Oryzias latipes: one gene and its partner. The protein of the gene in region 1 purifies or fractionates together with the protein of each later gene. This does not show direct contact. Links are inferred from orthologs where the notes say so. Each region holds a gene or a part of one and is shown on either strand. Other genes may lie near its edges.

Region 1 (8,555 bases):
ATCTATTTTACATGAAAAACCTCTTCTATCTTCCACTCATGAACTGTGTTTTAAAGCTGGTTATGTGTATTAAGTTGTTACCAGAACGAGAATGGGATGAACCAATCTACAGTAACCAAGCAACTTAGTGAGAAGAGAGCAACGGCTGGAGCAATTATTAGAAATTATTCAGATTATTCAGAAAACAGCCCAGAACTACACACTGTTCCTCAAACCTAGTGTGTTACCAAACAGGAAAATAAGCTATTGTAACTTCTGTTACCATAGCAACAAAGGTTGCCATTAGAGGTAACGATTAATTAAGTCATCAATGAATGCATGCATGAATTTTTATTCCCACCGTCCAATAAGATCCATCTATCTGAGGCAGAATCAAAATGAAATGACGTAAACCATCAAAAATAGTTTCCAAATGAAAAAAAAACCAAATATTTGAATCAATGTTGGAAAACACCATTTGGATTGAGACTTGGTAGGTTTAATTTACTAGAACTTAAAAAAGACGAAGTGTCATAGCAGACAACACAAACGTGATGGAGCAAAAAACTGATCATTCCAGTCCAATGTGTGGACAGACTTTGAATTTAGCAAAGTCATGTGACCATCCAGTTTTCTAGAATGTTCTAAGAATGTTCCCTTTGGATTCTTTGGATGTATTAACAACAGTGGACTGAACTTTAGGAAACTAACATGTGAATGGATTTGACATTCATTCTAGTTGACTTGTTTGTTTGGTCACATATTTCATTTACATTTGATGATCTGGAAGAAATCCAAGAATCTGGAAAACTTCACTGTTCAGTAGCAGGAATTTCTGTCTGAGTCTCACTGCTGGAAGTTTTACCTGAAGATGATCTGGATCCATTCTAGGTCAGAGAATCAGATCATTCAAAATGAACCAAAATCAAAAGTGAATCAAATTGGCAAATATTAAATGGAATTGTTCAAATGAATCGTTACACCCCCATTTGTTACTATAGCAACCTTTGTTACCATAGCAACACAGGATGCTATAATCATCTTGGAGATTTGATTTGTTAGACATTTCTGCAGAACAAACCATTGCTCTACCTTTATCGTCCATATTTCAAACTTTATTCAATATTTTCTGTTATATAGATTTATTATAAATCAGCAGCTGTTTTGTTCGTCTATATATAGATATATTTATTTGTTTTTTTAACTTTAAAGTGCAATACAACCTGACGATAGCAACTGGGCTGTTCTGAGAGAAAAAGTGAAGCTTGATGATGCATCAACAGTGAAATATTCTAAATATGTGCACATGAATATTCCTGTGGCTGCGACACGTGGAAACTCCTCGCTCAGATGCAGTAAACAAGACAAAAACAGCTAACATCCGGACGGTTTGGACTCACCCGAGTTCAGGCTCTCCACCCTGAGGGGCAGCCCCGCCTGGGCGATGGCGATGAGCTTCAAGGCGATGTAGAACTGGCTCCGCCCAAAGTGACCCAGGCGAGTGGCTCCGCACAGCTCTGTGATCTGCCCCCGCCCCCCCCAAAAAACAAGAGTCTTTATTTCTGTGGAGGTGGAGCCAGTGCGGGCTTATCGACTGGCGATCCACACCTTTGGAAAATTCCACATTCCAAAAAAAACAAACAGAGCTGTCACTGAAGGTTTGCTTTCAGGGACGGCGTCTTTGCTCCCGCTCCGCTGCCCCCCACCCTTTAAGGTTTAGGTCACCACAGCTGACTGACCCCAAACCGCCCACAGAGCGCCCGTCGCAGGCCGACACTCGGCTCTGTGCAGCTCCAAACGCTGCTGGGCGGCTCTACGACTCTCCAGCTGACCTTGAAGGGATGCTGAGTCACAAAGAGCTAACTGTGGGCTCTTCAGAAAGCCTGAGTCACGCTGCTTCTGCCCCGCTCATGACGGGAAGAGCAGTTTGACTTAAAGGCCTCTCTGGCCGGCCTCCTCAGGTTGTCATGTGAGAAGCTCAAAGCCTGAGTCAGCACGGAGCAGCGTCACTCATTAGTTTCATTGTTTCAAATGTGCACACGCTGCTCTGCGGGACGACAGGATGCGAACAGGAAACGTCCACTGATAAAAGGCTCCAGAGCGGCAGTCGACGCTGCATCGCTGCTGGGTTTGTGTGTGGGATTCAAACACATTCCCAAGCTGATCCCTGTTGCCTCTAGCCTTCAAGGACTTTCCAGGCCAACCATCAGAAAGCCTGGAAAAACAAAGACGCAGAAGAAGACAGACCAAGAGAAGCAACACTGCAGCTTTGAAAATATGGATTCACTCACTTCCTCTTGAAACGATTTAACTTCAAAGTAGAAGCAGAAATGAAGGAGCTAGCTTCAAAAAAGTTACCAAAAAAAAAATCAGATCGAGATTTCGGATCAGTCTTTTTTTTCTATTTCGTATCGACTATTTCTCTGTTTCTTTTATTTTTGTAATTATTCGCTAATAGTCAACGTTAAACTAACTGGCGAGCTGTCTTAGCTCGTGTCATGGTGCATTCGCTGTCTCTTGTGTCAAACATGCGGCTCAACGCTCCTCCAAAAAAGCGTTCATAGCTGCTGATGCGTGTGGGAGGAGCCACCATAAGCATTTGCTTGGTAAACATGACTCAAAGTTCTTAAGGGGCGTGTCTTCTGTTTGCTAACACGAGTTGCTGAAATGAGCTCTCTTATTGACTTTTTCATTGAAGTTAGCTTTGTTAGCAAGGTTGAGTTCAATTGTTTTCTAATAGTAGAGGCTACACTACCTATGAATCTGTTTTTAGAAGATGTTATGGTTATTCCTTTACACAGCTTAACTAGCTTAAATCTTTTCAGTATACCAGTAACTTCTATTATTTTATTTTTTTTTTAGGTTTGGGGTAAATGTCTAAACAAAAAAAAGCTACATTACTTAGCAGGCTTGTCTGGTTATAGTTGTCCTGTTTTCCTTTTTCTTGCTGGCCTCTTGGCCAACAGAATCTTTTAGCAAAAGGTTTCTGTTCCTGTTCTTTCAGATTTCTCAGGCATTGGTCCTCTTGGCCCCGCCCAGTGTATCTTCTATGTCACAAATACAATTTTTTTCCAGTGGCATTTTTTCATCTGCTCCTGATTCACAACCATTTGCATCAAATCGGAAATGCAATTTCAGGTTTAATTAATTGTCTTTTTACATGTTGAAAACTCCATTTTCATTGAAGTGGGTCTAAAATAGGCCAGCACAATAAATCACACATTTACCGTTATCGCGATATCAAGCTGTGCAACACGCCTATCGCAAGAGAGGCGAAAATTTCAATAAATGGTAACCTTAAATGTGCTAAAACAGTCTTATGGGAGCTTGAAGTATTTAACAAATCAAATAAATCCCTTTATGTATTTGACCAATCGGATGGATCCATTTTGTGTTGTGCTACATATTGACCTACTATTTAGCCGGTGGTCATTTGTGTATAATTTTTTAAACTGACATGGAAATGATGTTTTTGGTTGTTTTGCTATTTGTTCATGTACAGCAAGTTATATCGTCATCGTAATATTGTTCACTAATATCACATATCGCAAGTTTTCCTCATATCGTGCAGCCCTAGTCGTAAATATTGTAAATATTGTAAATATTATCTTAATTAAACATGGACTTAATTTGTTCAAAGAATTTGTAACTATTATTTTGTTATTAAACAGATGAAATGTCTTGGTAATAAGGCATTTTTGATACTTTGAAATCAAATAATTTCTTTGTAAAAAGTACTAAGTCAAGGTTTCAAAGCAGGTTTTAAGATTTTTTATTGTAACTTTCTCCTCATTAATGGCGTTGCTGGAGAGGATTCTCCCAAACGAAACCATCAGGATCTGATCCAAGAATCAAACCAGCTGCTTTACAACGTCGTCCTGATATCTAATGTAGGAGCTGTAGGGGCAGATGTTTGATGAGAGCAGAGCTCCACAGCTGCCCTCTGATCAGAACAGCGTTGGAGCCATCAGACTGGATGTCCATCACCTAAACCTGACAGGTGTGTCTGCAGACAGATCCAGCTGTGGGGAGCTCTGCACAGGTGTGTCTGCAGACAGATCCAGCTGTGGGGAGCTCTGGACAGGTGTGTCTGCAGACAGATCCAGCTGTGGGGAGCTCTGGACAGGTGTGTCTGCAGACAGATCCAGCTGTGGGGAGCTCTGGACAGGTGTGTCTGCAGACAGATCCAGCTGTGAGTAGCTCTGGACTCCTGCTCCATGGGAGGCTAGCGTTAGCTAAAAGAGGGTGTGTCTCTCTGCCATCACGGGGGGGTCTAACCTCATCTGAACGGGGGGAGAGGTGAGCTGTGACAGCCTCCAAACTTCATCCTTTAACGGCGTCATGTTGGGTCACCCCCCCCCCCCCTCCCCGGAGATAACTCCCCCCAAACTGCTGGTTAGCTTACCTGCAAGACAACTTCGCTGGGTAGCTGGGCCGCCCGGAAAAGGTCAAGAACTCTTCCGTTGGAGGCCACTTTTTTGGTGTTGTCCGTGTCGCAGTACACGAACAGCTCCGAGTAGTACTTCTGCTCGACATCGCTCAGCGTGAGGCTTTCCATCGTAGAGCCGAGCAGACCCGGACGGCGGCGGCGATAGCCCTTAGCCAATGGTAGGGGCAGGATCCGAGAATGGGCGACAGACACTTCAGCGGGATCCCAACTCCGCTAGCGTTCTTTCCGAGCTAACGGGGAGCCCGAACACCGCGCGAGAACTCCCCCCGCTGTCCGCGACCGTCTGCGGGCGAGCGGTGCCGACTTCCACCGGACCCGTCCACCCACGAGCGGCTCCACACAGTTGGTTAAGTTGTTGGGCAGCCTGGCAAAGTGGCCAACAGCTGGCTAGTAAAGCGGGGAGCTAACCTCCAATCAAAGTCACTGACGGCAGGCTAACTAACTAGCTGTCCGGCGTCTCGATCTGGACACGAACCTCATGAATCCGACCTGAAAGCTCTGCTTTCTCCGGAATCAGCTCCGGGGAGGAGATCCAGCGCTTCGCCGCAATCCGCGTCTTCCACGGCGCCTTTATTAGTAAAGTTTCAGAATCTTTGGGCTCCTTCCTTTAGTAATCATAGCCGCCATTCCTGCCCCCTTCGTCAAAGTACTTGGAGTGACGACACTACTTCCGTGGAAACCTTCCAAAATAAAGTACACCTTGAGCGACACATTTTTACCCTGCAAAGATTTTAAAGAGTAATATAATAAAAGTAATTAATACCAATAATTTTGCATAACCACAAAGGAAGAAATCTGTACCTCAAATGACAACATTTTGTCATTGCCGTTTTAAAGATGTTCTCTCTAGATTTTTTAGTTTGATTAATGGGTTACTCTTAAAGTCGATTTATAAATGCCATTACGAAAGAGCTTTAGGGCTGCAATAAAATATAAGGTATACATAAAATATGAGGGGGGGGGGGTCTAAGTAGTACATCTATTTTTTTTTAAAAGTCATTTTTTTTTGCTTTCATTTTTCACTAATCTACTTTTATAACAATTCACAAACAAGAAAATAATTTTTAATTAATGATGAACCAATTTTGACATTTTCACGGATACAATGTAATTTTTGTAAATTTTAATTGAACTTCATTTTTTATTATTATCAATTTTATTTCCAGAACATATTTAAAATCTCGAATTCAGAAAGTGGAACATCCGAGAATGAAATTGAAACAGTGTTAAAGGAATATCATCTGAAGAAAGTGATCTTTCCACTTCTGTAAGACAAATGTGAATTTAACAGATCCCACTGAAAAGAATATGTTGGCGTCTGTCATCACATGCAATAGCAGCTTATGACAGAAGTTCTCTGGACATGATTTCATGTCCAAATCTAAGGTGTAAAGACTTTTTAAAATTAGCATGTTTGACAATAACAGGCTGTAGAGACGGTTAATGTCAATGAAATCTCTTTCGAAGTCATTTTTCAACACCAATTAGCCTTTTAACAAAAATAGTACTATTAATATTGGCTAAAGTATGACAGATTTCATTTACAGCTAAAGAAAAATACATGAGTGATTGTTAAGGTTGCTTCTTGAGCTTTCTGAATAATCATTAACTTTGAAAATAGAATTGAAAATATTTTTTTTTATCAAAAAATTGTTTTTCTTTTATTAAAAAAACTTTTTAAAACCAAAATCTATGTTTAAAACTCACACAGATGTACCAACAAAATTGTCATTTTTAAACTGAAAGTAAATTAGAACAACTTCCGGCTTGAAGCTCGTTTGTTTTATTTCCAGCTTGATGTCTAGTGACGTCATGAAGTCACTGTCCGAGTCAGCAGCATGAGCCAGAGCGTTAGTACGCTTGGCCTGCAGGGACCCGGATGGATGATTTCAAAATAAAAGATCACGTTGGTTTTTTTTTAACAACTTGTGTAGTGTAATGTCACATTATTGTGATATTCACTCATAGATTTTTAATGACTTCGATTTATGATACTAAATGTTTTTAATCTCTCTGGATTAGAGGAAAAAGAATGTATTGTGGCAAAAGAAAGGCATATTTATTGCCCACTTAAATCCTTATATGGATCAAGACGCTAGAAAGTGGCGCTTTGTGTCACGATGCAGTCAGATGAGTTTGGTGTTGCGTTCATGGTTTCAGTAAAGTTCAAAACATTTAACAATAAAAAGTACAGTTAAAATTTGGGGATTTTACCAATAATTTTCCGTCTGGTAAGCACCATGGAATCTAGCAGATGTCAAATGTAACAAATGAATCAAATTGGGGTAAAAAAAAATATCAGGTGATATTTCCTGCAATGTACAACTCGTACATTTAAAAGCAGTAATTTCCGAGGGTAGTGTGAACGTAGCACTTCTTTCACCGGTGTACTGTCGTTCGAAAGTCGTCATTCATCCAATTCCTGGCGGAAACATCAGAAAACCAGAAGGTAAAAACAACACATATCGATGTCGACTTTTGGAGATTGTTTGACCGTGTGAACGGAACCGTTTTCCGGTCATTAGACAGTTCAGTTGATCTGTCAGGGATCCCTTCCGGCAGCAGATCATTTGTTTGCCGGGAAGGTGTCTGCCGCGCGGATGAATGATTTCTGCTCGATAAAGTCCGGATTCAACTCCGTTTGAAGTGAATATTACCCATAATGCAATTGCAGTAAAAGATGTTTAGAATGAGGAGCTGTTGGGTCTGAATTTTGCGGCTGGTTTCGGAAAGCTAATCATGCATTTCCGCGTTGGAGGTAGACCGCCCTGTTCAGGCTGCAGCATGTTGATCTGCTGCGAGCGCAACAATATGCTCCAGACATTCAACTGCAACACCGTAAGGAGAAAAATCGAACCGCAAGTCAAACCTGGACCTACACACACAAACTATATTAACTGTTTCATGTTCTGTCTGCATGTAGAGTTTGCTGGTGCCTGCTTAACTTCTGCAGAGGTTGAGGAGGGTATATTTTAATAAAAATAATTCAAAATAAAATTCACTCTCTGAAATTCCTTTTCATTTTCAAAATTAAGTTGCGTTTGTTGACTCAAAATTAAAAAGAAAAGGCAATCCGCCAAACTGCTTTTTCTTCTTCAACACCACTCAATCGGTCACTTAATTAAAAAGATGGAGAAAATGCTCAACTTTCAAAAAGTTCTCAGGTAAATGTGGAGCAAAATTAATTTAGAAATGTCTAATTTGACAATTAAAATGGATTAGCAAAAATGCTTTTTGGTTTTCATAATGTACCTGCATCAAATGACTCAAAATTCAAATGAAAAATCAATACTTAAAAAATGTTTTTTTTCATCGCTCATTCTGTGACATAATTAAAGCAATAATGCAAAGAGGGGATTGCATTTTCGTTTTCACATCCACCCTGCGATGGATGTGTCAGCATTTCCAGAGGGGAGGGGGCGGGGCCATGAGTTCTCACTCCATGTGGCCGGCTGCTATGAAACACCGACATGCCTAGGAGCAGTGCAGCCATGCTCGTAGCTTCGTGTTAGTGGCAGAGGAGGCTGGTTTGCTACGCTGTGTGCTTTTGATTGTTTACACAGTTTCTCAGGTCTGCGTAGCAGCATTTCCGCAGACCTGAGAAACTGTGTAAACAACCATGTGAATTTGTGTTTCCAGTAGTGTTGTGAACAAAATGTTATTCCCACATATTTACATCCAAAATGCTTATTGCGTGATTGCCCGCTCTGAGTTTAGGTTGAACCACGGCTAAATGTTGTTAGCAAGTACTAGCCTAATGCTAACCCTTCTTCCGGGTCCTTGCAGCCAATGAAAAAGCACTGGCCGCAGGATTAAAAAAAGAAATGAGCGCACAGGCTCTTGATAATAATCAGAACAGTAATAAAAGTACATTATTCAAATCGTCTCCCGCTGCTTCCCCGCTGATTTTTGCTGTTCGAGGACAGCTACAGCCCCATTCACAACATTAGCACAGATTTCGCCGTTTGCTGGTTGGACGAACGACGCACTGATGTCATAGCCCCGCCTCCCCTCTGGAAATGCTGACTGGAAATGAATTATGGGACGCTTTTCGCACTGTGGATGTGAAAACGAAAATGCAAAACGCTCTTTGCCTTTTCGCTTTAATTATGAAGAAAATGAAAAA
Region 2 (7,932 bases), on another chromosome or scaffold:
TTTCAATTTTCACATTCTTGGTATTTTTGGAGATTGGGTCTGGTTATCGTCGAGTTGCCATCTGCCTCCGTTTTAACACTCACCTCTTCGCTGCATCGTCAGTCGCTCCTCCCTTGCCCTGCTTGTCGATAACAATCTTGTCATTCATTCCAAATTTGCACTCTGGCATTCCGCTCAGATAGCTCTTCATCACAACACGACCCGACACGTGGGCGCTCAGGACCTGGCCTGGAATCAGGGAGGGGGACAGCCATGACGAGTTTTAACCCAAACTTCTACACCAGAAACCCTTCATGTAAAAAATAATTAGAAATTTGGAAATAGGCTGTGTCCAAATGCGAGGGCTGGGTTCTTCCTGGGCTGCATTTGTAGGATGTTTACGTCACAGCTCCAAGACAAGTGCTGTCCAAATGCAAGGACTCCTTCAAATGCGGCCAACGAATACGGCCGCCTTTTTCCCCCCAATTTCAAGGATTGGTCTGGTGTATGCTTCTATGCTGTCCATATCCCAAGATGCATTGCGGCATTGAGGGTTCTGGATGGCCGCCATGACGGAATAACCGATGCGTTTGGATTACTGCCTAAATCACATTTGCCTTCTAATTTTCTCTCACTTGCTATACTCAAACAAGTGCATATAACTGTGTCTTAATGTCTGTAATAACCCCCGACCACAACAAGATGGCGAACAGAACAACAAAAAAGGATGATACCATCGACGAGCCCGTCGTGGCTACGCTAAAAGATCACAGAGCAACCCTTCCAGCGGAGTTTAATGCCTCCATCACACGACTTGAGACAAAGTTTGATAACATCCAGTCTGCTGTTGAGGACCACCATCAAAGATGCATCGCGACAGAACCTGGAGATTTTCTGACAACAATGCTGGACTGTGAAGCGGGACCTGGAGTTGGAGATAATTACACCTTACAATTACAAGATTAAAAGTTGGATCAAATAAGCCAGGAAACTTTTGAGCTCCATGCCTGCTTCACCACTCCTCTCTGTTCGGGACCCACGGTTGCTAGGCGACAGGACACTTGCCGATGATGTAACGGCTGGAATTATCTAAAGACTAGACTTGTCCAAATTCACAGTCGTTAACATCCAGAACCCGGCCAACGTCACCCGGGAAGGCCGCCATTGAAGGATGCAGCCCTCAAATTTGGACACACCCATGGAGTATGCCCAAAAAAAAAAAAAAAAACCCACACAAAAACCCCCAAAGGATTTAGGAAACCGATCAGAGCCGAATAATACTCTAAAAAAATCAGCTGCATTTTCTTTACTTTATAAATATGCAGCACTAATCCATCATTACAAACACATTTTCCTCTAAAAAGTTACAAAAAGTGATTATTAGGGACAATTTAACCTAAAAGTCCTTAATGTTCAGAGGTACATTATTTAAGTCATACTCAAATAGGACATTTTTCTCTTTTTGTTCAACTACAACCAAAAATACCAACTTTTTTTTAAAGTAATTGTGAACATGTTCAAAACAATGGAATTCATATCTAACAACTTTCGATGCTACAGTTGAACAAGCGATAGAAAAAAATTGTATAAGCAAGTATTGTTTCAAAAGATCAAAACAGAAATTGGAGTCCTCAACTTTAAGCATGAACAGGAAGTTTTAAAAATAGAAGTTTGTCCATGTAATACTTTGAAAGACTTTGCAACTACTTGACATGTCTGATGCATTTACTAAACACAAATGTTTTCCTAGATCATGTTTGACGGGAAAACTAACTGACCTTGTGGAGACATGAGCAGATTCACACTTTCCAGCACATCCAGGAATAGTTCATTGCGGCGATATTTGATGCCCTCACGACGCCAGCCAATCTGTCCCGTCACCTGGCTGGTGATCTGAGACTGCTCCTCTTTTGTCTGAAAGGCAGAAAGAAAAGCCATAATGCAGATGGATATGGACGACCGAATTTCAACCACACAAAAAAGGCCTTGAAAAAGAGATCCCACTAAAGAAAGATCGAAAAATATAACCCTGTTTCACTATCTGAGGAGTGTAGCATTATATTACCTGGTGCTGAAGGGTCCAAATACCACAGGAGACAGAGGAAATGACATGGAAAAGAAAATATATTTTTTAGCATATGTCAACTGTTTGGTGTGAGTTTAATACATAAACCAAAAGAAAAGGTGTTTTCTTTATTTTAAGCACAGAATGGTAAAGAAACGTTCTACCGACATCCCATATTCATCTTTATAACAGGATTAACAGGAATTTATTTTAGCATTCTGTATAATTTTACACATATAGACAGCATACATTTAGCCTATTTTTGATCAGTCAGAGTGTGGATGTTGTACCTGTCCCTTAATGCCCTGCTGGGTGATGAAAGTCTTTAGGGCCCCGGTCTCAGAGTTCTGGGGATAACCAAAGTCCAGAATCTCTGCACAAACAAACACAACTATCAGCAACAGATAAGATAGGCAAGAGAGAACCCTAGATCATGAAATGATGAAAGCTAACAGCTCCGAGAAAGAAACTTCAAAGCAAAATATTGGTGCTAACGTCCCAACTCTCAGAGATCAGTCAAAGCATGATTTTTGTATTTGTGTCAACAACCGTCTAAAACTGAACAGTCACTTCATACCATCCAGCAGCTCATAGATGAGCACAAAGTTGTTCTTGATGTTCTCCTCGCTGATCTTGCCAAAGTAGGCCGTCATGACGTCACACATTTTGTAGAGGAACTCGAACACCATGGCAGCGTTGACATTCTGCTTGGTGACGGCCGCCAGCCAGATGTTGGAGCGTTTGACGTGGAAGAAGCTGGTGCGGGCGATGTTGGTCACTGGGGATCGCACTTGCTGCCGGGCGTGAATCACGTTCACGCGGAACGCGTCCACGGCGTTACGTCTGCCACAGAAGAAGAGGAGCAGAAAGAAAGTTTAGGAATGGAGTCAACGGATTAAGGTTTTGTGACAAATGAGAATGGATCGTTTGACGTGAAAATATTTTTTGCAAAAAAAGAAAAATTCTCTAAAGCATGGACATATTTAATAGGAATAAAATGCAGAGGGAGAATGAGGAGGTAGACACTTCGTTTTAATGTCTAAACTGTGATCAAACCAACAAATAAAAACTCACAGCACAGCAAAAACATTAACTGGACTTTGTGGAAACAAAAAAAATGTTTCAAACCAATAATTATCCAAGTAGGATTTTTATCTAGTTCTTTTGTGGTAAAACGCTCTACAATGCTCAACAGCCCTCAATTTAAACGGATACAGTGGACAGGATGGAGCTTGTCCTGACAAAAGTACCAAACCACACTGCTAATTGCTGGGAATATTCTGGAGTGCACATCAACTCACAACAGACATTACCAAAACCAGAAACATACAATTATCACAAATGATGTAGAGGATCTGTATGATCCCTTAATGGTTGTTGCACCACGGTTCCTATAAACACTGCGGTGTGAAACAGGCCGGGTTGGTTCACAGATGTTAACACGCTGAAAAAACTGTCCATGAAGACTCCATGGAAACAAGTGGACGTGTTGGAGTGAGTGTGAGGCATGTTAGTTCAGGATGCTGCCTTACCTGGTTGGGGTGTGAGGTGTTTTTATTAACCACAAATGAACAAAAAACACAAACTGGCAGCAAATTTATGTCCAGCTGTAGTTAAATCCAAGGTCTAGCTTTAACCGGGTGATTTAATCCAAACTCTCTCATTACTTTTGAATTAAAAAACAGAAATTAAATGAATAAATGACAATTCAGATGACTTGCCTGGAAAATTTCCATGCTCAAATGACATGCTAGAAGTGGCAGTTCTGGTTATGTATGAATTCCTTAAATCTCTCTTTTTTTAGATGATAACATGACAGGTGACATGCTTAGAAGAATCAGCAGGAATCCTGATGGTTGGACAGATGTGCATGCACTTTGGGGTTCATGAGATCCTCGAGTTGTAGCCTTTAAAAGGTGGGGTTCATGCTGTAGAGGCTGCAGTAGCTCTTACCTATTCCTACAAGGACCGTGATGGACAGATGGAGGATAATGGTGATACAGAAAATAGAGAGGAGAGAAGGATGAAGACAAAAATGTACAGGAGACATTTTCGTGCATTGTGTAGACAGAATGAGTAAGGTGAGGGTTTTTTTAGGGAAGTGGGGGGCTAGGTAAATCATTAGGGGACAAGGTTAGCATTATTTTACTACACTTTATCCTTGGGGTTTACAGTGCAACACCTCAACAGATTGAATTCCCCTTTAGTACAGTGTGTGGGCTAAGGTAATGGCAATCAACATTACTGCAAACATGCCTCAAGTTCATAGCGTTTTAGTTTTCCAGCGGATTATGCAAAGTCAAGAACTGCTACATCAGGGTTTCTTTTGTTTCCGTCTTTTCCCGCTTTATTCAGCAAAACGCATTGTGTCTGTATGAGAAGACAGAAGCTGCTGAGGATGATCAAGAATGCAACAATGGCTGAAAATGAAGCAAAAACAACTAATTGTGGCAAAGAGAAGAAAAGTGGAAAGAAGTGTACGCTTTTCTTAAGTGTTCTATTATGTTTGGAAAATGTATTTGAAGAGCCGCATGTGCAGATGCAAGAAATCCTACTGAACACCTGCATTAGGCATGCACACTTTGCTTTTGCCATCCTCCCTCAGAACTATACCAATGCACAAAAAAAATTTTGAATTCTGATTTTGCCTTTAAATTGACCCATATGGTAAATCTGCTGTGCAACTTTTTGCCCATTCTTCTTCTGTATGTCGACTGAACAGTCCGCTAAGACAACATAAACCCCCAAGTCAACAAGTCTGCAAGTTCTGGTTCACAGTACTATGACATTTTGATTGAAACAAGTTTCCTAGCCATGAATGAGGCCTTGCATCTAAAACTCAACCACTGGTTTAGTCAATGGACATGCACAATCTGCTGATTGTTTTAAATCTGAAAGAACAACACTTAAAAGACCATAAATAATACTTTTTGTACATAAGAAACTAGCTATGGGTCATCCAAGTATTTTTTAACCATCCAATTTAGGTTCTCTGTAATTCTTCCTGCCTCTAGAACTGAAAACAAAAGTCAACTCTTGATGAACAGCTCTAGCTAAAGCAGAGAGTGTGGTTTGATAATGCGCCTGAGCATCTGTAACTCTAATCATTTATTCAATTTGCATAGGCCTTCAGATTGTTAAATAAATAGCATCTAATCCCTTAAACAATGTTATATGAGCGGATGATTTAATCCAGGCTTACGTCTAACTCAGCTTCCTTGCACAAGCAGACATGATTTTAGCTGGATGTGGTGACATAATCCTCTCATCGAGGAGATCAACTCCAGCTAGCCCTCCAACGCAGGATCCAGATAGTTCCATTGAACTGAAGTCTTCCACAACTTGAGGAGACTTACAGAAGGTTAGTTCGTGTCAAACATACCCTATGTCATCTCGGTAGACACGGGAGATCAGGACCTCCCCCTTGTGGTTGTAGATAAACAGTCCTCCAATCATTGTGGCTGCCTCTCAAACACACCTTGCCATGATGAAACCAAACACCACCTGGCAAAAAACAGAAAGGAACGACATGAAGGCAGTGGTCCCCAAGCTTCCCCCCCCCCCCCCCCCCCTCACAAAGGTGTAACTCTCAGAATATATTTTATTTATGGAAAATCTTCAATGAATCAATAAAATCTTTAAAACAGAGTTTATAAATATAGTTTTTTTTACAAAGCACTAAATTTATACAAAATAAAAATTAAATGAAGAAATGTGATTTGTGTATCAAAAAAGGAAGAAAAAATTGTTGGTGTAGTAAAGAATAATACCACACAATGTGTTTTACTTCTTATACATATTCACCTTGTGTTAAAGATCTCATTTTTTGTTGTGATCATTTTTGCTGGGATCTTCATATGCATGATTGAAAAATACAAACATGTATTTAAATCTAGTACCTTTTTGGGGTACATATCTACAACAAAATATTAAGGCCCCATACAAGTAAATAAAAATTAAGTACAACAAAAAAAAAAAATCAACATTTACAAGAACAAAGTCGTAAAATTATGAGAGCAAAGTTGTAATTTTACAAGAAAAATGCATCCTTTTTGAATATAAAGTTGGTTTTAAGCCTCCATCCATAGTCATATTGAGTATCTACCTGAAAACTACTGACATGGAGGATTAAAAATTAGCCAGGAGAAGTGAAAGTGAGGGAGTCACCGCTGGTGACACAGAGACACATTTGTCCCTCACATCCTCTTTTCTCTCTCATCCTCGTTTCCCTTTTGCCAGCTGACTAATTCCTGCAGCTGCACTTCTTCCATTCGGACTCGAAGGAAGCAAAAAGATGCACACACATATCCAACACGCTGACTTGATGAGGCAATGGATCTCCATACTAATGAAACGGCAGTTCTTTTCCTCCAGTGACATATTAGATAGAAGAAGAAGATTAGGAGCTGTTATGGGTAGTTTGTTTCCAAGTTGCCTCTATCCATCTGTTTTAATGCCCTCCCGCTAGCTTACAGCTATTCACACCTCCAACCCAATTATTGGAGCAATAAAAACGGCGAGCACTTTTGGAGCTGTCCAGCTGTCCAGTGTTGAGCCAGATATCAGTTCAGGCGAGGAAAATGCAGACATGCATGGATGGATCTATTAGTCTGCAAGTGGATGCATCAAAATGTAGCGGAGTACAGAGCTTGTGGCCCAATGATTGCAGCACCTACTTCCCTGCTATGAGCATTTTCCAATGGAGTTTTTTCGTCTGCTCCTGATTCACAGCAATTTGAATATAGAAATACTCAAACACAATTTTAAGCTCAATTTTCTTAATGTACGTCCTCTATAATCAGAAAAGTGCCACAAGTCAAGAACATGTTAAAAACACAATTTTAATTGGAGTGGGTCTTTGATGTGTCACTTAGCCGAATACAAATGCTCATCAATTTAATTTAGATAAAAAAAAAAAAAAAAAAAAAAAAAAAAAACAGAAGTAGCAGTTTAAGGTTTAAAAAAATACAAAAAGTAACTTAAGGGCTGCTGGAGACAGGAATTTCTCTCTGTCCCTCCTTTTTTCTCTCCTTGATGATAAGAATGAACCTTCTGGAAACCATGAAGGACATTTCAAATTCCTCGAGCAGAAAATCCAAACATCGAAAAACCGACACTATGGGAGACTTGACACGTTAGCTGCAGGATTAGCAGCATGTTTTCCGCTTAAACACCGCTAAGTCGTGACTTAACCATCCGCACAAAACCTGAAGAGATTTAATCGCCTCTTTTTTCTGGCGAAGTCAAGATGTCTGCTCACTCACTGGGGCCATTTTCATACAGTCATACATTTCAAATGTTTGTAGAAAAGCAAGGGCCAAGTTTACCAGTAACGTTTTGTTTAAACAGTTACGTGGACGCAACACAGCCGAGTGTTTGTTCTTCGGTAAAAGCAGACTGCTAATTTAAGCTAATTTAGCTAGCGATAGCGGGTTAGCAGGCGATGGCTTCCAGTGAAATACCGTCGTGCATGGCGAATTTTCAAACGGAATATCCGGTCACAAGTACTACAATTCTGCGACTTGACAGGTTTTCTACACAAAACGGTTACGTGTTTGTTAAAACAATCAATGTCGCTCGTTCGACAAATGTGTTTTAAACATCTCATGCACACGCGGCAGTTTCAGCGTTTCCACAAAATGGAAATTACTTCATTTCTGTTATCGTGTGGCTAACTCCTGCTAGCTTGACGTTAGCTAGGCAAATAGCTGCTAACGTTAGCATAGAGGGGAAAGCGCTGACCTGCTTTTCGCGAGTCACTGGGTTCTAGCTAATCGTTTCGTTCCGGATACAACGACAAATTTGTCAACTTACCTTGGTCCTCTCACCAACACCAGGAGTTTTTCCCTTCCCGCCTGGTCTTAAATATAACGTCTGCAGAGCAGAAT

Evidence for each region. The genes of interacting proteins can lie anywhere in the genome.
Region 2: the proteins of reps1 (region 1) and ap2m1 purify together in Homo sapiens (affinity purification with mass spectrometry; 3 studies listed by BioGRID and IntAct, counting the BioPlex papers as one, with this or other methods). This does not show direct contact. The link is inferred for Oryzias latipes from reciprocal best matches to the Homo sapiens genes REPS1 and AP2M1.

What each region holds. Positions count from the first base shown.
Region 1 is NC_019882.2:19,492,842-19,501,396, reverse strand, and holds the start of reps1 (ralBP1-associated Eps domain-containing protein 1), read right to left. Parts: upstream 5,094-8,555; 5' UTR 4,538-5,093; coding exon 4,385-4,537; intron 1,504-4,384; coding exon 1,380-1,503; intron 1-1,379. UniProt on the Homo sapiens protein: May coordinate the cellular actions of activated EGF receptors and Ral-GTPases.
Region 2 is NC_019875.2:21,535,480-21,543,411, reverse strand, and holds part of ap2m1 (AP-2 complex subunit mu), read right to left. Parts: 5' UTR 7,859-7,932; intron 5,549-7,858; 5' UTR 5,501-5,548; coding exon 5,427-5,500; intron 2,888-5,426; coding exon 2,622-2,887; intron 2,418-2,621; coding exon 2,335-2,417; intron 2,051-2,334; coding exon 2,045-2,050; intron 1,894-2,044; coding exon 1,758-1,893; intron 229-1,757; coding exon 84-228; intron 1-83.